Yarrowia lipolytica: one gene and its partner. The protein of the gene in region 1 purifies or fractionates together with the protein of each later gene. This does not show direct contact. Links are inferred from orthologs where the notes say so. Each region holds a gene or a part of one and is shown in the gene's direction. Other genes may lie near its edges.

The links. The genes of interacting proteins can lie anywhere in the genome.
Region 2: the proteins of YALI1_F08292g (region 1) and YALI1_B19520g purify together in Saccharomyces cerevisiae (affinity purification with mass spectrometry; 3 studies listed by BioGRID, with this or other methods). This does not show direct contact. The link is inferred for Yarrowia lipolytica from reciprocal best matches to the Saccharomyces cerevisiae genes RPB3 and SET1.

What each region holds. Positions count from the first base shown.
Region 1 is NC_090775.1:821,558-832,283, forward strand, and holds YALI1_F08292g (uncharacterized protein), read left to right. Parts: upstream 1-7,727; coding exon 7,728-7,813; intron 7,814-8,951; coding exon 8,952-9,834; downstream 9,835-10,726. Other genes in the region: YALI1_F08225g (uncharacterized protein), read right to left, coding at 1-980; YALI1_F08260g (60S ribosomal protein eL21), read right to left, coding at 3,978-4,452, 4,722-4,732; YALI1_F08284g (40S ribosomal protein uS4), read right to left, coding at 6,337-6,908, 7,198-7,204. UniProt on the Saccharomyces cerevisiae protein: DNA-dependent RNA polymerase catalyzes the transcription of DNA into RNA using the four ribonucleoside triphosphates as substrates. Component of RNA polymerase II which synthesizes mRNA precursors and many functional non-coding RNAs.
Region 2 is NC_090771.1:1,947,523-1,960,027, forward strand, and holds YALI1_B19520g (uncharacterized protein), read left to right. Parts: upstream 1-4,542; coding exon 4,543-5,715; intron 5,716-5,779; coding exon 5,780-8,119; downstream 8,120-12,505. Other genes in the region: YALI1_B19485g (uncharacterized protein), read right to left, coding at 1-989; YALI1_B19490g (uncharacterized protein), read left to right, coding at 1,573-2,967; YALI1_B19507g (uncharacterized protein), read left to right, coding at 3,241-3,460, 3,750-4,015; YALI1_B19567g (uncharacterized protein), read right to left, coding at 8,279-9,247; YALI1_B19576g (uncharacterized protein), read left to right, coding at 10,105-11,040. UniProt on the Saccharomyces cerevisiae protein: Catalytic component of the COMPASS (Set1C) complex that specifically mono-, di- and trimethylates histone H3 to form H3K4me1/2/3.

The sequences.
Region 1 (10,726 bases):
AAGCCCTCCTCCTTGACCACCAGCTTGAAACACTGGACTAGACCGGTGTATTTGAGTCGTCCTCCGGTCTCCGAGGGAGCCTGTCTCAATCTGGTTCGAACAACCTCATGAGGGTAAGTGACGAGCGAGGCCATGAGCTTGGCAGCTCCGGCAGCTCCACTCTGGGCCGACCAGTCCAAAAACGAGTCCAGCGACGTTCGCTTATATCCGTGAATCTGTCTCTGCTTCTCCTTGTTTCGAATGAGCTGCTTCATCTTCTCGTAGAGCACCCACTGCAGGGTGGACTCGGAGGCGCCCAGATACGACGCTGTCAGACCCTTGTAGAGACCTCTGATTCCCTCCGTTCGCATCACCTGCCTCAGACAGTCCCACGAGTTTTTGTACTGTCTGAGATGGGTCTCTGGAGAGGCCTTGTCCAGCTGCAGACGGGTCTTGATGAGCCAGATGGGGTTAGTGCATGTGGATGTGACGATGCCGGCGTTGGCGGCGGCCAGCAGGTGAACCCACGACGCTTCCTTGCCGTCGTTGAACTCCTTGGCGATGAACTCCTTGCCCACTCCGTAGGTGAAGAAGTTGATGGATCTAGAAGGGATGACGCCGACCAGATTGGGCCCCAGACCCTTGAACAGCGCCCGATAGCCCTCCTGTCTGTAGATGTTTTTGAGAATGCTGCCGGTCTCGACAAAGTGCAGCCAGGCGTTTCGGAACGGGCCTTTGGGGTTGCCGTAAGCAGTTCGCATCTCTGCGAGCTGTGTTTTGTAGAAATCAGCCTGTAGACGGGTCTTGACAACGTCCAGAGGACAAGTGAAGACAGCTCCGGTCATGCCTCCGATACCTCCCGCCACAAAATGGACCCAGGGCGAAACCTGGACCACCTGGTCCACGGGCGTCGCCTTGTCTTCCGAAAGCCGCATCGCAGGGTATGTCGCGGAGCCCTCGTCGCTCTCCAGCGTGCTCTTGGGTCGTACGTAGTCCTTCATGGTAAGTGACGTTGAGCAGTTAATCTGGAGATGCAGGATCTTTTTTTTTTTTTTTTTTGACCGAGTTAGTTTAGATTTTTTCCGTAGGATTTTTCACCGCTTAGAGTTTGGAGATGAGAGAGATCAGGGAAGGAAATGTTGGCCGACGAAGCCCATAAAATAGAGCCCTTAACAGAGAAATGTAGTCACGTGACAACCGTGAACACGTGTTTTTAATCCATGTCTTTGGTCTGTCAAATTTCCGTTTTACGCCCCGATCGATCACCATTCTATCCCTCCTGCCAAGCCTTGCGGTTCAGGAAGCAATCATCAGACAGACGTAGTAAGCGTAGGTAAGGGGGAGGGGCTGAGGGATGTTGGAAGGGGTTATGAGTAAGAGCGAGATATTGGAATATTCTAAACTACAGATTATGAATGAACATTTGTCGACAATGCGAAGAAACCGAGCCCAACCGGCTATATCAGGGTCTGTACTCGTCAGTATAACGCAGCTCCAACGGCCAAGCAGGGAAGAAGTTTAAAAGCGAGTGGAGCAATTTTGATACGGGATGGAAGAAGATGGATGGATGTCATGGGACCTGTTCTGCCATGTGTATTTCTGCTGTCACGTGACACGAACCTGAATATGCCAAAAAAATCACTGCCGACGAGCTTTCATCGGTTCTTTTTCGGGGCTTTTGCAACCGGTACTTGTACATACTGTACGTTACTGTGTGTATCTATAGTATGCTCAGTGGATGACGACTTTCCGATCTAAATGTGGGTTTTCGGTTTACCGAGCTCCAAAAAGCCGGGAAACGGCGGTTGATCTTGCGGGATATCCTCATATTTGCTCCATTTTGCTCCACATTCTCTTGACAAGTTGGAGAACTATTTCAGATGTTTCAGAAATTTTCATTTTTTTTGCTCGAAACTTTGACGAACCGTGGAAAACGTTACTGACATGGTGGAGACATGGAGAAAACGCCAGGCGGTAGATCTGGATCTAGAGAACATTTTGAATGTGCGAAAGCTCTGGGAATCTTTATGGAAAACGAGATGAATGGGGCAGTTGTCATGATCACCAGCCAAATAAAGTTAACTTAGACTCCACTTAAGCCTTTGTTGACAGGGTCTATTTGCATAATCAAAATTACGCCCTAATTGGGATGTCTGCTGAAGGGTGAGCGACAGGCCCAACTGGATGCTGGCGGGTGGATGGTGGAATGACGGCGACAGGAGAGGGGTGTAGTAGGCTATAGGCGGTTATAGGGGGGACATTACGATAGTCGGTTATTGATAGACTAAGTGGTTGTCAGGGTTGCGGTATTGAACCCTTGGAGAGATTGGATGGTAAGACGACTGCTGCTACTAAACCCACTCTGTTCATAACCTCTCTTATGGTGGAGGGCTGCGATCAGGTGACCAACTGTTCAAGTGGCTCGCTGTGTTTTATTACTCGTTCTGTACTTGAGCAATGTGTATATCATGTATATAAATTTCCTGTCAGGTCTCTATATGGTGGTTATTGATGGTCCCTTGGATTGCCAGATTTGAAGTTGTCCAGAATACTTTGGAAGTTAGTTGGAAAATAGTTGTTGGGAAAAGTCCACTGGGGGTTCAAGATGGAGGTTCCCGACGTGGCACAGATATATGGAGTATTTAAAACGGCAGCATATGTTGAATATTTTTGAAACTAAACAGTATTGATAACTTTTCTACTGATTTTCCAAGTTGTCTTCGTTATGGAAACAATGGTGTTTATATTTTAGTTGGATTTTTACTTGACTACAGGCGTTAGATTTGGGCGGGAATAAAAGGGGAGTATATTTCGAGCAATATATATATTATATAATATATATAACACCATAGTCTCTATAAAAACTAGTCCATTCCTCTCTAATGGACAGAACTGGCCATGCCACCTGCTCATTAGATTGTGAACTACTTGTAGTGGATAGAGTGTCAGCAGTATCCTGGCGTGTCTCAATGGTAGACATGTAGTAATCATCTGAACGAGGCTCAGGCTTGAGGGGTGGTCCTTAAAGATTGCCAGTGGTAGACAAGGCCATAAGTGGTCACGCCAACATGTACTGCAGATCATGTACCAGGAACGACGGAGAGCTGCAATACCTGATAGCACCGGTGGTCAGCAGGTTGATGATAAATGGTTTTCAGGAGATCCTAACAGAGCCAGAGTGTAACGAAACAGCACCGTTGACCTTGACTCTACCTCGATAGCTGTGGACTAAGTACCAGCGATTTTAATCCGGACTCGACCAGGGACCAGGTATCTTGCCCAAATCTTTCTGGTCTAGCTTGGGTGACTGGTTTCCCGTCGATTTTGAGCGGGCCGCGTCTAACTTCGCCGGACGTTAGCTGCCAGACTACATACAACAGAGGGGCGGTTGAGTCGCCAGTCTCGATTTGTTAGGGGGGAAGTAACGGTCTGAGAGGTTTCGAGTTTCGGATCCGGAGATGACTGCAGATCGACTCGGAACCGGGCGCCCTGTACCAATGGAATGGACTGGGTGAAGGTCCCTCTGGGGATCCATCCGAGTGTTTCAGCCCAACGGCTCTCTGCGACAATCCCGAGTGCGGGTTCGACATCTTTCTGGTGAGCACTTTCACCACCTCAAGAGTGCCTTCAAAGCGATGGCTCTTCCCTCTTCGTAGACCGGCTCAGGGTCGTCAAAAACCATGTGTCGGAGAGTCGGGCCGTGGTATCTGAGCAACGTCTCCTATGCCACTTTCACCGAATTGCCGAACGGAGACTGCAAATGCGAGATGTTACTCCAAGTTGACTGGCATCTCTCGAACTCGTACCACAATCGACACGGTATGTTCCCGTATGGCAACCTCGTTACTTGTCTTACTATAAATCATCGCCTATTGCTCATCTACTGGACATTGGTTAAGTATCGCTTCACTTCACTCACTTCACTCACTTCACTCACTTCACTACAAATACTGGAGTCTCCTAATAAGATACAATTTTATTATGTCACTCTCGACCGCTTAGATGAAAGTCTCGTAAGCAAGAGGAGCAACGGTGAGAGGGTAGTTGGTCTCGTCGATGGCAAGGGTCTTGGCCTCTCGGGTGGCGCCGGGCTGTCGTCGGAGCTGGACAATCTCGTTCTTGGCCTTGGCCTCCTTTCGCTTGAGATCGTTGGCCTTGACTCGGTCAAGGAACTCCTGTCGGCACTTGGAGTGCTTGATGTGCTCGATTCGGAGGTTGATTCGCTTCTCCATGAATCGGTTGCCAACAACCTTGTTGATGATGACGCCAACAGCGGACTTGGTCACGTTGTAGACGATTCCAGTTCGGCCGTGGTAGAACTTGTGGGGCATACCCTTCTGGATGGAACCGTTGGCTCGGATGTCAACAATGTCTCCAACCTTGTAGGTCTTCAAGTAGACGGACATGGGGATAGTTCCGTTCTTCTTGAAGTCCCGAGAGAACATGTATCGGGTTCTGCTTCTGTATCCGTGACTGAGTTAGTGTGAGTCGGTGGTGTGGTTTGACAGACAGACTGTCTGTCTGGGCTGAGCTGAGCTGAGCCGAGCGCGAGACATAGAAGGCACTCCGGGCACTGGATTATCGGAAGAACACAGGCTTCTCCTCGATCCCATGGCCTCTCTAAAACAACGTCCCATAATGCCCCCACGCCTAGCCTCCCGAGTCCGCTCTATTCCCAAACGCCCACTTCACCCTGACAGTCATACTGCCGTCCGTTCATCCCTCAAATCGCAAGAACTTACCTCTTACCCATTGTTGATTATTGTCGTTGACTTGCAAAGAAAGAAAATCAGAGCGTATTTTCCTTTTGGTGAAATTGTTTGTGCAGGTTGGGAGGGGCGCAAATAAGGTTCCGGTCGGGTGTGACTGTTTTTTCAAACTCAGACTAATGTCACGTGATATTTTGGGAGACCACCGAGGGCTACTGAAGGGATAATGGTAGTGGGGAGGAGGCGAAAAACGGAGTGGAATGGTTCATGGACGCTTTGTACGGATGTTACAAAGATTTTCAAGTCGTTATTACGTTTCTGACGGTCAAATAATGGAGTCTAGTATGACCACAGAATTCAACAGACAAATTTGGGTTTCAGGGTGTTTCCCGATTTGGAAGAGATCCCAAAATGCCACTCAATGTGGTATCAAGGGGTGATGGGGTGAGATTATGAGGTCTGAGAGATAGGAGATTGATTCTAAATAGGAAAAAGTGCATATATCGGTTTTTTTGAGTGGATTTTGGACCGTTATTGGGGGAGTTGAGATGAACGGGATTTTAGTTGATATTTTATTGAAGAATCTTATTTTAGTGGGGGATATTTGTTGGTGGAAGAAAGGGAGGTACTTGCTACTTGTAGCTGGCGAGAGAGGGAATTCTGGAGATACTTGAAGTCGTATATTTGTTTAACGACATGTATTGGTGGATATTCTGGGATTTTATTGCTCACAAATCATGTATTTGTACCACTTTGTGTAGTGCTATTATTGGCAGTACGTTTTACCGTATCGCAGGCATGGTGCGACTGCTGGGCCACCCTTCAGGTGTGCCTGGACTGGCTCTTATTAACTAAGGAGGAAGGCCAGGGATTTGGAGCTTCTACCAGAATATTATATGACGATTAGGAATGTACAGTGAGAATTTCAGGCAGATCTGGGCACTATGAGATGTAGAGATTGGGCAGTGGTTTTGCTCAAGTATTGGTTGATTATGTTAACAAATTATGAAGTAAATTATCTGATTCTGCCAACTACAGATTGTAAAAAAATACGAACAGATCCAATCATCGAAACTTGTAGAGTCCAGAACAAGTGACCGCAATGGCCCTCTGCTCACAAACGGAACGTAGAGATTATCAAACATCACCATATCAAGAGTGAGCGTTGTGAGCATTGTGAACATGAAAAGAGCATCAATAACGTCCATCTGAGCCATTGGGATGGGTACAAGTAGGTACCTACGTACAATCACCGGCACCGACCCAAGTTCAAGTACTTTTTATGGCTCTGCTGTACTTGATTGAGAGACATTCCAACTCTGTTTAACCGTCTGTGGAACATTGAATCACTTCTCGGCCCCCCAGAGCGTGTCTGACTACTCTAAGCACCGTCCCGTATGACTCTGGTGATTATTGCAGCAAGACTCGGTTTAGCAAGAGTATGAGAGGGTTAGTAGCCATCGAGACAGATGGAGTGCCTGCCAGTTCTGATGGTCAGAGTTGTCTTGCCAACAATGAACTTGACCATAATCGATCTGACAGTCTACAGTACTTGTAGTCTCCACTTACGTCTACTTGAATTGGGCACACTAAACATGCATTTTTATTAATCTTTCGATACTTTTTGAGCTAGAAAAGAAGAAGACGATTACTCCTCGTCCTCCTCCTCCTCGGCGTCCTCGGAGGCACCCTTCTGGGCGTTCTTTCGCTTAACTCGGCCGGGTCGTCCTCCTCCGTAGGGAGAGTTGAGGGCAAAGTCAATGTGCTTCTGGGACTCGAGTCGAACCATGAAAGAAGGAACGTTGACAATCTGCTTGCCGACTCGGATGTGTCGCTGAGAGATGAGCACTCGGGCGTGGTGGATGGACTTGGCCAGACCGAGCTTGAAGACCTGGGTCTGCAGTCGTCGCTCGAGGAAATCCTCGGGGGAAAGAGCCAGAACGTAATCGAGCTTCATTCGGTCCTCGGGAAGAACACCGAGTCGAACCAGTCGTCGGATCAGAGCGTTACCCTCGAAAAGTCGCTTGGGGTCCTTCTCGTCTCGGGTAAGCAGCTCTCGGGCAGCTCGTCGGATCTTGGACAGCTGGAGACCGATTCGGTAGATCTCTCGCTTGTTCTTGAGACCAAACTCACCGTCGAGCTTGAGCTCGGCATCGAGACGAGCAGACTCGTAGGGTCGGTTGGGGGTGGAGGCGGTCTTGGAGTAGGTTCGGGGGGCTCCTGTTGTTAGTACTGAGCGTAGGAGGCTGTAGGTCGCCGAGCGGACCCACCATAGTGGTGGTTCTCACACGTGACCCTTCACCAGGTATTTCGATTTGGTATCACTGTCAAACGTCGGGGTAGTAGTAGTAGCAGCAGCAAACGATGCTCATAATCACTCTGGCTGGAGAGATTGTACCGACCGATATCGACCGATACAACTCGCCCAGCTGAACAACCATGTAACAAATAACCAACCCCAGTCAGTTATAATGACAGTGACAGCAGTTCGTCATAAGAGTGTACTTACGAGGCATTTTGAGATTCCGTGTTGTCGACTGGACTAAGATGAAAAATGCAAGTTGGGAGTATGTAGGGCCCATGAGTCGGTTGGAAAAGCAGTCACATCATGTGACATGCATAAAGTTTAAACGATAGATGGTAGTGACGATGAGCCCGAATATGGGCGAGACCAAGTGTAATCGTTCAGCGATGTATTTGATGGGATCGTAGCTCATCATTTGGATTGAGTGAATTTATGCCCAAGAAATTTCTCAATTAAAAAAGCTCATAATCTGTTATTACAAGTAAGGTTTTAGATGGAGAGAAGTTTATTTTGTCATAATCTGTGGGCTGAAAAATATCAATATAAAAAAAACAAATAAAAAAAAGGGTCGTAGGTGATTCTACAATAAGGCGTTTCGCCTCATCAATACCGCCGCCGGGTTCGTCACTTTGCCCGTTCTACTCGCCGTGCTGACTATTAAAGTTAATCATCGCCATATTCAATATTCTGCCAGTTGACTCCCAAGACTCTCGACAAAACCAACACATCTCGAAATGGAAGAGGAAACGGGCCCCAAGGTGACCGTGCGAAAGATCGAGCCGGATTCGGTCGATCTGGTGCTTCAGAATGTCGATTTAGCGTGAGTATTACGAGGGCCACACGGCCTCTCGGCGGATGTTCGACGATGGATTGAGAGAGGAGAGAATCGTGTTGTGGGGAGATTGTGCGGGAGACACAGACGTGATACGTTGTGAGGGGTATCAAGAGACACAGACATGATGTCATGTGATGGGAGCGATGTGTGAAGGGGATTCGATGAGGTGGCAAGATGAGATGGTGAAGGAGAAGGTGGCAACTTGATGGATGCCAACTTGATTGGTGGAGTGATTTGCTGCTGAATGAATGTGACTTTCGAGACTAAGGTGTCATTTGGTGACTGTCAAACAAGCAATGGGAGGACGATGTCTACGGTCTGATTCTTGGCCTGGGCCTGGTTCTGATCCTCGTTCTTGTTCTGTTCGGATGATATGTTAATGTTACTCTAAAGATGACCATGAGTTCAGTTGGAATCATTCTTCACACTACCCCCTCGAAACTACTGCTTCAGTGTCGATACCATATGTCAGGCGGGGTCTCCTTAGACATAGACTGCGGTACGTCGGGAGAGCGTGGAGACTGCCATCACGCGCTCTATCAGACGAAGTATTCCCAGGCATATCAGACTCACGCGCTACCCGAGGATATCTTCGTGTAAGCCATTCAACAGATACATTCCACAGATACATTCCACAGATACATCCAACAGATACATCCAACAAACTCAATCCAACTTTTCTTACATTTAACGGGTCCTCCCACTCTCACCTAGATCTGATGCCGTTTAATGCGAGCCAGACTCACCATGACCTCTACCTGACGCCCAGGTATATATACTGAAGTTGCTCCTGGGTTACCACGGCTCATCATCTGACTTTGTTTTGCTGAAGTTCAGCTGAACCCGTCTTTCCATCAGGCGTCACTGTTTAGGTAGTTTGGACCCAAGACTGTCTTTCCACTCGCTGAAATCGAGAGACTGCCTCGTCTTACGTGTTTTTGCCTGAAATGACAGGTTTTGTCGGTCTCTGGAATCTAGTGTTGTTTCAATGGGATGATATCATCACGTCTTCTGCTTCGCTCAAGGAGAAAACTTCCTGTCTGCCTAGGAATCACGTCCGTCTCTGAGTCTCCTCACTGGCTCTCACTGCTCGAAGCGCAAGTGTTCACTCTTACTAACCCAGCCTTGCCAACTCTCTCCGACGAGTCATGCTGGCCGAGATTCCCACGCTCGCCATCGACCTGGTCGAAATTTCCACAAACACCTCCGTGCTCGCTGACGAGTTCATTTCACACCGTCTGGGTCTCATTCCGCTGGACTCCCAGGACGTGAACGATCTCGAGTACAGTCGAGACTGTGTTTGTGACGAGTATTGCGACAAGTGCTCCGTTGTGCTCATGCTGGACGCCACGTGCACTGGCGACGACACCATGGACATCTACTCCCGTGATCTCATGGTGCACACTACCCCCGAGCGGCCCGAGCTCGGCAAGCCCATCTACACGGACCCGGCCAAGAAGGGCATTCTCATCTGCAAGCTGCGTAAGAACCAGAGTCTGCGCATCAAGTGCATTGCCAAAAAGGGCATTGCCAAGGAGCACGCCAAGTGGAGTCCCTGTGCGGCCATTGGCTTCGAGTACGACCCCTGGAACAAGCTCAAACACACCGACTACTGGTACGAGGAGAATGCCGAGGAGGAGTGGCCTCTGAGTAAGAATGCAGACTGGGAAGAGCCTCCCAAGGAGAACGAGCCGTTTGACTACAATGCCAAGCCCAACAAGTTTTACATCAACGTGGAGGCTACCGGCGCCCTGACGCAGTACGAGGTGGTGCTGCGAGGCATGCAGGTGCTGCAGAAGAAGCTGGCTGAGGTGGTGATGATTCTGGGCGATAGGGACGGCGCCGGTGGTGCTGCAGGCCGAAACGGAGGCCAGACTCAATATGGAAATGAGACCCAGTACGGAGGAGGAACCCAGTACGGAGATACTCAGTATGGAGGACCTACGTTTGGAGGTAATGACGAGGGATTCAAGTCCGAGTATGGGACCAATGGAGGGTGGTATTAGAGGAGGGAATATGAGGACCTAGTCCCTTTTTTGCCGATCCAGGACAGATATCCTGGAGAAGTTTCGAGTGGGAGAAGTCATTTCAGTGAAGAGTCGAGCCCCCCACCATGGCAAACTCCGACGAGGAGATGGATAGCATAGCTGGAAGTGTGGACCCAATCTATCTCAGGTACAAATGTCTGGGTCGACTGAGTACTCGTACAAATATTGGAGGAATGTGTAACTATAGGAAAATTAATTATTACAAGAATGCGATGTTTGTACCGACAAAGACTGCTTCTATTTCGAGTTTTTGTGTGACAAAGAAAATGACCCGGCTCAGAATTGGCAGCGCTTCCCGTTGATAGTCATATTATATAGAAGTACAAGTATTCTTAAGTACATACTTGGGTCTACTGCCGTCTGTTCTAGTGTCCCAACCAAACTCAAGTAGATGAGAGATGTTCAATTTGCTTCAGACGGCTCCAGTCGCATTATTTATATTGTAATGTACTGTTTTGAAAGGTCTTAATGATAATTCCATCTGGGGGATACATTATGTGACATTTTATTTTTCTCTGGGATGCTTGGAACCCTGGATTGGAACCCCCAGCGGACTTTTTCCTTAACAAAAGTTCAACTATAGTACAGTATGTACAAGACAACTGTGGAGACTAGGACACACCACGATCGTTCTGCGCGGAAGGCATACTATTGGAGTTGTAAATATGTTTGAATGTGCTAATACCGACACTTGCCATTATTCTATTCTCATTCTGGAGCTACTTGTTCAGTTGTTTTTTCCATCTTTGTTTCCTTTTTTTCCCCTTTTTTTCCCCCTTTTTTTCTTATTTTATTTATCAGACTCTACTCTACTCTACCCTCCTCCATTGGTGATGCTTGCACTACTATA
Region 2 (12,505 bases), on another chromosome or scaffold:
CCATACCGGTCGCTTCCTCCGTATCTATCGCCGCCTCTCCACTTGTCGTCAAAGAGTGATTGCCGGCTCGAGCTTGTCTGTGTCTGCTGAGCCTGGGCTGCTCTCTTCTCCTCGTACTCCTTGAGCTGCTGATCAATGGGAACGTAGTTTGTCGTGGAGATGGGTTTCCATGCTTGTGTGGGTCGCGATCCGGTCGCCACCTTGGGCAGATCCTCCGCAGGCTCTTCCACCTCTGTGGCTGCCTCGGGCATATCGTCTGCCCAGTCTTCAATGTCGTCATCTTCTGCCCAGTTGAATCCATCAGCTGAGGGCTGTCTGTGTCGCTGGGCCAGATGGATGCCCAGCTTGACGAGCTCCTCCTCGGGTAGGTCGCTCATGGATCCCTTGCGCTCGTCTTGTTTCTGCTGCTCGGGCTCTGGGGTAGCCACTGCCAGCACCGGCTCCTCCTTTCTCGGAGATGCTATTCTGCGCCAGACCCCCTGTGCGGGTGAGCCAAATAGCGGCGACTGGGTGGGCTTGGGCGACGCCGAGTTGTCCCGCTTGAGAGGAGCCAGCTTGAAGTGGCCGGAAGAGGAAATCTTGAGAGAGCCATCTGTGGATGCGGCAGTGGCAGTTGTTTTGTTAGCGACGTTCTTGGAGGGCTGGGGTAGTGAGGGTGCAGTATCCGACTTTTGTTGCTTGAGCCAGTTCGCCAGCGACTGAGATTGAGTATTGAATGGCTTTTTGGGCTCCTCTATAGGTGACATGTGGTCGTGGTGGTGTGCTGTGTGATACCAAAGGTTATGGGGTAAGTAATGAGAGTTGTGTGGTGATGATTCAATTGGGAAGTGTGTGAAATGTGGACACGGACTTATACCGGGTCTTGGTAAGGGTTTACTGGGACGAAGAGCGGCTTGTTGGGCCCAGAAAGAGGCTTTATGGAAGACCCAGAAATATTCTCTGCAAGTGGGCTTTTTGGTTCTATATATTAATAACCCGCCACGTGCCATAGCCGACAAGTATGTTGCAATTTTGGTTCCAGACTCACTGTCTCCCTGTCGTCATGCGTCGGGGGAACACAAGGGTGATTGTAAATTGGGTGAGCCTTCCCCCTGGGTAAATTAGCTACTTGTGGTGCGACCAATTCGAGTGTCGCGTGGAAGGAGATATATGGGTACAAGTACTTGTCAATATATAGAGCGTGTGTAAAAGGATATTGAAGCGATTGCCAATACTTGTACAGGCACTTGTACATGTCCAAAAATACCGCCTCAGAATTTAAATCTCCTGTTATGCACTTGCAATTGGCTGTGTATATGTACATGCTCAGTCTTTAACGAGAATCGGTATAGTGTTTGTACTTATACAGTACAAGTAGTTCACGGGAAACCAGATTGTAGTGGTGAGAATCTGAACAGGGTGTATATTAGCCATTGGGAGGCATATACTGGCAGCATCAGTCAACCGCCAGCTTTTTATCAGCCTGTTGAGTCATGTGTCATCAGTCAACTTGTAGCCGCCACACCATAGTAAGCACTTTCAAGTAAGCTTATCTGATCATGCATCTAAATAGTGACCTCTGACAGCCCCGCCATGATCCGATCAGTTCGCCACCTATCGACTCTCAGATCGACTCCTCGTGTCGCTGTCGTTGGAGCAGGCCCTGCAGGCTTCTACACTGCGCACCGGTTGCTCAAGCTCCAGCCAGACACCAAGATCGACCTTTTTGAAAGCCTGCCTGTGCCTTACGGACTGGCTAGACATGGAGTAGCACCGGATCATCCGGAGGTAAAGAACTGCCAGGACACGTTCGACGAGGTTGGAAACGACCCCCGTGTCCAGTTCTTTGGCAACGTGACTGTCGGAGACACCCTACCTGTGTCCAAGCTCAGAGACAACTACAATGCTGTGGTTCTATCTTACGGCACCCATACAGATAGGAAGCTAGGTATTCCCGGAGAGGACCTGCCCGGTGTCATTTCTGCACGAACGTTTGTCAATTGGTACAATGGTCACCCCGAGCATGAAAGTCTCAACCCTCCTCTCCACAAGGCCGAAACAGTGACAATTGTGGGAAACGGAAACGTGGCTCTGGATATTGCTCGCATCCTGCTATCCCCTCTCGACCACCTCAAGTCTACAGATATCACACAGCAGGCGTACGAGACGCTCAAGACGTCCAAGGTTAAGCGGGTGCGAATCATGGCCCGACGAGGACTGCTAGAGTCTGCATTCACAATCAAGGAGATCCGAGAACTCTTCAAGCTGCCCGATACAGGCTTTGTCGCGTTTCCTCATACGAAATGGGACGATGTGCTAGCTGCCCACAAGAGCTACAAGCGTCCTCTTTCTCGAATTGTCAAGCTCATCGAGGAGTACAATCTCAAGGCCAAGCAGAGGGACCCTGCTCATGCATCCACCCTCAAACAATGGTCATTAGACTACCTTCTTTCACCCAAGGAGGTGATCGCGAACCCCGACGACCCCGAACTCGTCAAGACTCTTATCGCTACGGAAAACAAACTTGTTTCTGCTGACGGCTCTGGACGAATCGGAGTGGAGCCTACTGGTGTTACCGAGAGCTTCGACACCGACCTGATCTTCACCAGTATCGGATATGCATCTACTCCTCTGGAGGGCATTCCTTTTGACGACCGAAAAAGCGTCATTCCGTCTTCTAGAGGCCGAGTAACTGACAATGGGGTCTACGCTGCAGGATGGGTCAAGAACGGACCCACCGGTGTGATTGCCACCACTATGGCAGACTCATTTGACACAGCACAGGCTATTTCCGACGATATAACCGCCGGCAAGCTTGATGGTGCCAAGTCTGGTTCCGATAACCTCACCCAGTATCTTGAGGATGCCATTTCATGGGACCAGTGGAAGAAGCTGGAGGCCCATGAACACAGCCAGGGTGATGCCGCAGGTAAGCCCAGAGAAAAGGTCAACAATGTTGCCAAGATGTTGGAGATTGCTCGACAGTGATGTGTCTGTAAATAGTAATAACATAATGAATATTTGGTACAAGTATCTGCAGCAACACATCGGTATTTTTTTTTTCAGCTACCCAACGAGCAGTTCAAGTAACTTTCTCAACTAAAACTTCCAAGTAAAAAGATGCTCGATATTATTTTAAGCTCGTCCAGTCCCAGCGCACCCTAACCCACCAGCCAACCAATCATGTCGCATGCTATTAGCCAACTGCAATATCAAGGTCTAAATCGTTATACCACCAGACACCAAATATCACACAACACAATGCTGTCTCGAAGCCTCCGTCAGCTGAGCCAGCCCTCCGTGCGATCTTTCGCCACCTCCGCCCGACTCCTCCAGAAGAAGGATGTCCCCGAGGTCGGAGTCAACCTCGACAACGTCCCCGCCCATGAGATTGTCAGCGGAGCTCCTGCTGAGCTTTCTCGAAACCGAGTCGTTCGAATCTACCAGCAGGCCAAGCCCGCCACTCAGAGCGGAGAGTACGGTGAGTATTACAGATTCGTTTAAGAATTTGAGATGAAAGGGTGGAGTTGATATGAAGATTTTGAGACGGAGTAAAGAGGAGGGATTAACAGAGGAAGGAAAAGTGGACGGAAGGGTATGGCTTTGAACCAAAACTGTTTAAGCTGTTGTGCTTGTCATGTCTCTGTCTTTTTCTTCATCGCCATGTTAAATACTCAGGTATACTCTGATATTATTCATGATGTCAAAGCACACACCGTCACCTGAACATGAACTGGTTTCGTCTATCCAAACACGCGTACTAACAACAGGAACCTTTGCCTGGAGACTCGACTGGGACATTGTCGACGTTGCTAACAGATGGGAGAACGATCTGATCGGATGGCAATCTTCCGGCGACTACATGCAGGCCACACAGATGAAGTTCACCAGCAAGGAATCTGCCATCAAATTCGCCAACAAGCAGGGCTGGGACTTTTACATCCAGGAGCCTCACCACCGAAAGTTCCGTGTCAAGCAGTACGCCAACAACTTTGTCCACTCTTACGGCAAGCTCAAACACATTCGAACCAAGTAAGGAAAGAAATGCATAGATATTGACAGGCTCAACATTTGTAGTTGTTGCTACCGTATATACCTGTAGTAAGTATATCGAACTCCATGCACAAGTTTTTGTTCTTTGAATGATGTACTTACAAGTACAGTATAGGTGTTGTAGTATGTGTACATACTGTAGTCTCGATTTTCTGGTGATTATTTACAATAAAGTGTATTGGTACTACTTGTGGTACGCTAATTAACAATGCATGATTGTTCAAGACGACGTGTAATTATGGTCGCCTCTTTATCGCACGAATGTATCTATTGCATCTTCCTCATAATAGCCCAATTAGTCCATTCATGTATTTTTACCACAAACGACTTTATATAACTCGAATATATTCCTCTGCACTACTCGTACTGTAGTCTACTCGTAGTTTTTCCGCCTACCCTTCCTCACTAACTGATAAGGTTCATAGAATGGAAATAATGATGCACCACGTCCAGTGACTAAATTGGATCCCCCACACGCTCATCACGAGACTCGGAAAAGACAAATCTTGGATGGCGAACGGCTCAGATACAAAGCCCGTGCCGAAGGGGCCTCGTGGTGCTCGTGCGGACGACACTCGAACGCCCCCACATCCCGACCGACGGGGTTCGGACCGCGACCAATATTTTTCCAAAGACCGCAGTTATGGCGGCCGTACGGACCGTGACTACTCAGACTATGATCGTGCTTACCCCCCGCCACGGGACTATGACCGGTACGGCGGTGGAAAGTACGGCAAGTATGACAAGTACGACAAGTACGATCGGTATGACCGCCTCGACTCACATGACTATCCTCCTCGTCGCGACCGCGACTACGACAGATCAAGAGACGCGCGGGACACAGATTCCAGAGACTACGGACGTCTTCCACCTCGGGATACTCGCCCACCACCTCGGGGAGGCCGTGAGTACCGCTACGCGAGAGACGAGCGTGGCTGGGATAGAGACCGACGAGACCTAGACCGAGATCGAGATCGGGACCCGCGTGACCGCGAAAGAGATGCACGTGATCGAGACAGAGATCGGGATTTTCGTGACAGAGATCATGACCCACGTGATCGAGACCCCAAGGGCTACCGACCACATTCCTTGGATCCTTTGCCCTCTCGAGACCGTGATATGCCTCCCAGAGAGCGAGAGAGAGAGCTAGTGCGAGAAAGAGATCTGTTCTCCAGAGACCGGGATCTGATTACCGGTGTTAGAGAGCTTGCCCGTTCTCCACCTCCTCCACTACGTGATGGACGAAACCGAGACCGCTCAAACGACAGACACGATAGATCTTTTGACAAGCACACCAGAGACCGAGGCACGAGGGACAGAGACACCAAGGAGAAGGGATCTGTAATCTCGACACCTCAGACTGCTCCAACTCCAAGATTAACCCCCACCAACGGAAAACCGGATCTGCCTACCTCTCAACCGCCAGCTCCTCCTTCTCCACCACGGCTCAAAACCTTCCCCAAAGAAGTGTGGGAGACAGTGGGCAGGAAAAACAACACAAGACTAACTTACGATCCCGAGCTTTCCAAGGATAAACAAAAAGGCAAGAGAGGCATTTATGAGGAGGTCAAAAAAGGAGCATCCACAACTGAGGATCCTCGAAGCAAACATCCGCATTATTTCAAGACTTCCAGCAAGTCCAACAAAAAGCCGTATCAGAGATTACCGGTGCCCAGATTTCTGGTGAGTATGAAGCGATTGAATCTAGCACAATGGAGGTTTTCCTTTTGATCACTAACTAACACAGTACGACGCAAATTCTATCGCACCACCTCCATCAACTCAGATCATTGTCAAGGGTCTTTCTTCACTAACTACCTCTAAAACTATCACTGCCCATTTCAAGACATATGGTGAGCTTGAAGCCGTCAACATGGTAGAGGACCCTGCTACAGGTTCTTCAGTGGGAGCATGTCTGGTTCGATTCAAGGTGACGAAAAACAATTACGAGGCCGCCCATGAGTGCCTCAAAAAGGCCATCCGAGGCCAAAAAACAGGACGAATTGACCAGGCCAAGTACAGAGTGGAGCCAGATGAGGATGGAGCCAAGGCCAAGGATATCATCAAAAGAGTGGCAGCTCGAGCAGCTAAGAAAGCCATGCCTGTCAAGCAGCCTCCTACTGCACCTGCTGCAGACAAGTCCATCATGGAGAAACTGCCCACACCTGTTCCTTCAGCTCGGCCATCTCCAAAGGCAGCGCAGTTGATGAAAACCAGCGCATACATCTTCATTGCTGGTAAGTACCTACCGTCAGAAAAAGTGTTTGCATCTGATATTCGTCGGATTCTGCGTGACTTCGGCTGGTTTGATGTTCTCAAGGAAGGAGATGGTTTCTACGTTTTCTTCGACAACAACAGGGATACTGTAGAATGTTACGAGGCCATGAATGGCAGAAAGGTGAATGGCCACCAGATGGCTATGGCTATGATTCGACTTTCTCGAGTTGCTCCCAAGACCAAAGAGAGCGAGGAAAACGCCACCGAGCAGGCCCCCAAGCTCCCTCCTAAGGAAGAGGCCCGGAAACTCATCGTACAGGAGTTGGCCAATAGTCTCCGTAAGGATATTCGGGAGCGGGTAATTGCTGCAGCCATTGTGGAGTTTCTGAATCCAGCTCGATTTACTCATATCAAGCAGGATCCTGAGCCATCTGCCGCTACTGAACCCAACACTGTTAACGCCAGTGCCGCTCGAGTAGATACTCCCGAGCCTGTGCAATCGTCTTCTGCGATCCCAGGTTTCCTTCCTCGGTTCAAAATCAAGCGAAAGGGTGATCCGACCAAGAAGAAGGATGCCACCAAGAAGAACCGAAAGAAGATATCTGCTCGTCCCATGAACCACGTTCTCAACGACTACTACTCGGATGAGGAAGACAGCACTCGAATGTCGACTCCCATTGTCCCTGATACCTCCGCTGACGCTGCCGAACTTCCTATTAGAAAACCCCGCAAGAAGATCAGTCAGTCCAAGCAGCGAATTATGGACTTCAGCAGTTCTGAAGGCTCGAATGAGTCCGAGGAAGAGGAGGAAGTGGAGGATGATATGGAAGAAGAAGAGGACGAAACTGCGCAGGAGGAACTCCAAGAAGCATCGACTCTCGATACTTCCCAACAACTTACAACTGCATTCGGCGAGATTCTCGACTGGGCTCCTGCTCACGGTTTCCCTCAACCTGTAACAGCCGACAAAAAGGGTGGTGCTCTGACTACCATATCAGGTTTCCAGGCGCTGGTTAAGGACGACGAAGATATGGAGTTGCTCCAGGAGGCCCTGGAGGGTATTGAGCCTGAAAAGATCAACGGAGAAGCATGGACGTGGACCCATAAACATCTCAACGAGGCTGTAGCCAAGGAAAACGCAGAGTTCCCCGAACTGGCTGCTCCCAACGCGTTTGTTAACTCCACTGGCTCATGGAAGTCTCAGGGATACTTCAAGATCCCTGAGGCTGCCAAATCCGAATACCTGCCTCACCGAAAGAAGCTCAACATCCCCATCGACACGCTTCAAATGGAAAACCGAGAGAAAAAGAAGGAGAACGCCTCCAACTCGCGAGTTAACCGTGCCAACAACCGGAGGCTGGTGGCAGACATCAACATGCAGAAACAGCTGCTGTCCACCGAAACCGATGTGCTCAACTTCAATCAGCTGCGAAAGCGAAAGAAGCCTGTCAAGTTCGCTCGTTCAGCTATCCACAACTGGGGTCTCTATGCTATTGAGCCCATTGCAGCCAACGAGATGATCATCGAGTACGTCGGAGAAGTTGTGCGACAGGAGATTGCCGACTTGCGAGAAGCTCGGTACATGAGGTCAGGTATCGGATCTTCATATCTGTTCAGAGTTGATGAAAGCACTGTCGTGGACGCCACAAAGCGAGGAGGTATTGCTCGGTTCATCAACCATTGCTGTACCCCCAGCTGCACGGCCAAAATCATCAAGGTGGAGGGTCAAAAACGTATCGTCATCTATGCCTCGCGGGACATTGCTGCCAACGAGGAGCTCACATATGACTACAAGTTCGAAAAGGAGATTGGAGAAGAGAGGATTCCCTGTCTGTGTGGCGCACCTGGCTGCAAGGGATACCTCAATTGATAGCACCAGTAATGTATTTTTATCATGTCTAAAACAAGTACTGTATCCGCGAGTGTTTGCACTCGTATGCTATTCTATAGACTTCTTCTACATGTAGCACAAGCACAATACAATAGTACCATTAGTTCCGCCAATTAGTCTATACATGCTTATATCCATCTACTCTTGCTTCGACAGATCCAACGCGTTCTTAATCTCGTTGAGTCCAACTCCAGTACCCTTGCCCACAAAAGAAAATCCAATAAGCGTGTCTTCCCGGCCACGCACAATCTGCAGCCGAGAGCCCTCACGGGTGCTGGAAGTGGCAGCCTGCTCAACCTCTCCTTGGACATCTGCTAACAGCACACTGGCAGCATCTTCAGAGGTGTCCATCTCGTCGTCTTCGTAGGCATCAGTCTCTGGCTTGGGTTTGATGAACCCGAACGACCGACTGCTGTGAATGTCAAGGTCGTCGACCGGAATTGTGGTAAAGTCGTGGGTGAGAGTGATTCGTCCGGTATCTTCATCAATCTCCATCAGAGGAATCTCTGTATCCTTCAGAGCAGCCAGAACAGCAGCCCATACGTAGTCCTGCACAGGTCCGTTACGACTCAGGACAGTCACATTGGCATGCAAACACAGGTATCGCTTCTGGTGCTGGCCAGCGTCAAACACGGCCTCGTCTTCCTGTCCCTCCTTCAGAAAGTTCTGGAGCTCGAAGAATTGTTTGTTTGCCTTGCAGGAGAAAATGCCCTTTTTGAGCAGATCGGTAGTCTTTCGGCTCACCACCTGCTCCTCGTCGCTGGGAGGCCCCCCCATTGCTGCACTGCTTCCGTTTGCTCCTCGCAGAACCTCGACGTTAACAAAGATTCCGCCCTCTTCCTCAGACACAGATCCGGTAACACCACACACAATACTCATTCCATCGGCCTGGATCAACGAAGAGCCCCAAACCAGAGACGCAGACTTTTCGTCGGATCCCACGGGCTTCTTAAGACCGCCCAAAAAGTGGTTGATCTTTCGGTGTTGTGTGAAGGCTCGGTTTGTAGCTGGTCGCAATCCTTGGTTGAGATGTCTGTGTAGATATAGATCGGGCACAAGTCTCGAAAATACCTCCGAAGGGTATGTGATTGGCTCCATATTCGTCATGTTGTGTGTCGTTCAGTGTAAATTAAAGATTCTTCAGGCGTTGTGCATGATACGAAATATATTTTCGACGTAAACTTAGTTGTGGCTCGTCATGTGTAGGTGAGGGGTGTACATACTGTACATACTGAACAACATGATGGTTATAATATTGACATTGAAACGGAAGAACCGAGATCAAAAAAATATAAAAATATCGAGGGTGCTTGGAATGTGTCTATTCAAAAAAAACAACAACAAAAAACTCGAAATCTGCTCTCAGATATCTCCATTATTACAATACCTTTTCCAAGTAACCTTGAAAGAAGTAGTTGAAACTTGTGGGATTTTAGTTTGAACGTCTAGGGCCATCATCGTTGGACTCTTATGCAAAAAAAGGACACTTATGAAATATAAAGACAAGGGCGGTAGCTGTTACAGTTCTTTTTGGGCCCGGTCTGGATATCTGGCATCTCTATTTCATACCTTGAACGACAACATTGTCACTCTCATGTTCAAACAGCCACGTGATCGCATGACTCCTCGGCTATTGGGAGTGACCAGCGATGGGCTGCCGGTTACGGATGTACATACTTGTACAGAATGTGGGGTGCATGGCGTGACTTAACATGTACTTATAGAATCACCTGTCTTATATTGCAACGTTAGAACGCTCAAGTAACCAAATGTTCTGATTTTTTTTTCCAGCTCGCACCCTATGATGTCACTCTTCCCTCTCTGTGCTATTTTAGACTTTAAACCTCCATCACTCACATCTCATCTGCATCCCTGAGTTTGGTCCTTGCTCACTCTCGGAAAAACATTTCATTTAAACACCTATCTTTAACTACAACTCTCTTTCTGACCCCAAATCACCAACCATGCAAATCACAATTGTCGGCTCGCTCAACTACGATCTTGTCACCATCTCCAACAGACTCCCCAACGCTGGGGAGACCATGTTCTCCCAGGGCTTTGAGACCCACTGCGGAGGTAAGGGAGCCAACCAGGCTCTTGCTACTGCCAGACTCTCTTCCAAGGTCCCTGATGTGAACGTCAAGATGTACGGAAAGGTCGGCAAAGACAACTTCGGTACTCAGTTGAAAAACAACCTCAAGGATTCTGGCGTGGACGTGTCTGCCATCCACGAGCTCGACACCAAGTCTGGAGTGGCTGTCATCTTTGTGGATCAAGACTCTGGAGAGAACCGAATCATGGTCTACGCCGGAGCCAACGGCGAGTGGACTGAGGCCGATCTCACTGACGATCTCTTCGACACAGACATGCTCATCTTCCAGAACGAGATCCCCATCGACATCGTCTACAAGGCCATCGAGAAGGCTGGATCTAAGAAGCCCAAAGTGGTCTACAACCCCAGTCCTGTGGACGAGCGAGGTAACATCCCCGCCGCCGTTCTCAACAGCATAGATTTCCTCGTGGTCAATGTGACGGAAGCCACTCTCATCTCTGGCGTCGAAATCAACGAGGAGGCATCGAAGGAGGAGATCTGGAAACAAGCTGACCAAGCTGCGGATACCCTGTTCAAGATGGGAATCAAGGAGGCCGTTGTTGTCACTCTGGGAGGTAACGGTGTCATTTACAAGACCAAGACTGATTCTGGACATGTTCCTTCTAACAAGGTCGAGAAGATTGTCGATACTACTGGTGCTGGAGACACTTTCCTTGGAGGTTTCTCCACTAGCATTATCCAGGGAAAGACAGTCTCCGAGGCCATTGCTTTCGGAAACAAGGCTGGTGGTATTGCTGTCACTCGACGAGGTGCTGCTGAGGGTATCCCTTACGATCATGAGCTTTAAGCACATTTTAGACTAATAAAAATGAAATATAATGAATCCATGGTTGGTAAAATCGAGGGAACACATAACTGTATAATCTAGTCATTCAGGTACAAGTATAGCTTTTTGTTTTATTCTTATGATCCATTACTAGTTTTTTTATTTTTATTCTACATTTCCCAAGGTTACACAATGACCTTGCAACGGTGACTAAGCAGCCGAGTTACCGGCCAGTTGCAGCCATATCCTGGTGAAAATACGGCTTCCCGTCCGATCAGCCATAGTCAAGCACCAGAGAGCCTAGTTAGTATTGTAGTGGGAGACCATACGAGAATCCTACAGTAGGTGCTGCAATTTTTTTGTAGTGTTCTTTTTTTAGGCTAAGTGCTTGTCATTGGTTGGTCATACCTACCTCTACAGTATGTAGAGAGGTATGTATGCAAGTAGTTACCTCTACTCCTACTGTACTGGCAGTGGATGAACGAAGATCTTGAGGCTTGCTCTGACGTTCATGAAGTAATATAACCGACTACATCATGTACTTGTACCAGTCCTTGTACTGAACATTACTGTACATCATCCTGTTGGGATATTTCTCGATCTGTATCTTTATGCAAGGATGCAGCTCAACTTCAACCTTCGGTGGAACTGAGGGAGAAAATTGTGAGGGAGATCAAAGTACATGGACGAGTAATAAAAGATATGAGACTCAATAGTCGCCGGTGTCTACTGAATTCATCAACCTCGTTAGTATAACTACAGTAGTTTCTTAGACTGCTCGTATGGCTGATGACAGTGCTTAGATCTGAACGAAGAACAAGTAGCGTCTCCTTCCAAGAGAATAGGACAATAAACGACCCCAGAAGTTGCCCGTGTAGAGACTAAACAAAGTAGGATTACCCAATATCTCGATCTTTTCCTTAGTTAGCGTGTATACGACGTAACCCTACACACAGTGTCGGTACGAGTAACGGTCCGAGTACAGTATGTACATAATGCTACCTGTACTTGCATTGTAGTTGTAGTTTGGTGAAGTATGCACGGTCCAAAAGTAGCTCCAAGTACTTGAAATCTCGATAACGAAATACAGGTGAGAAAGGAGGTGAACACAAATGCCTCAGCTTCGGAGGGGACTAGGCGTGTTTGTCATGGCGACACCGTCGAATTTGGGTTATCGAGTACCGTCAATTTACAGCTCACGATCATTTCATTGTTATTTTCCCTCCCCCACCCCTTTTTTTGTCTTTTGAAAACCGCCTGATATGACCGATAATGATAGTGGCGTTATTTTTTTTTTTTTCTGCATATATATCCAGCAAGAGGGGGGTGCGTCAGTTTAAGTTCTACAGTAGATCTAAACGACAGTATGGGGGAGTAAATACAGAAACGGTGTAAGTTTTTCATACGGGAAGTGTAAGTGGTCTATCAGTAAGAGAATCAACTTAAGCAGATATAATAAACATATCTGGTCTTTGAAATCTCTCAA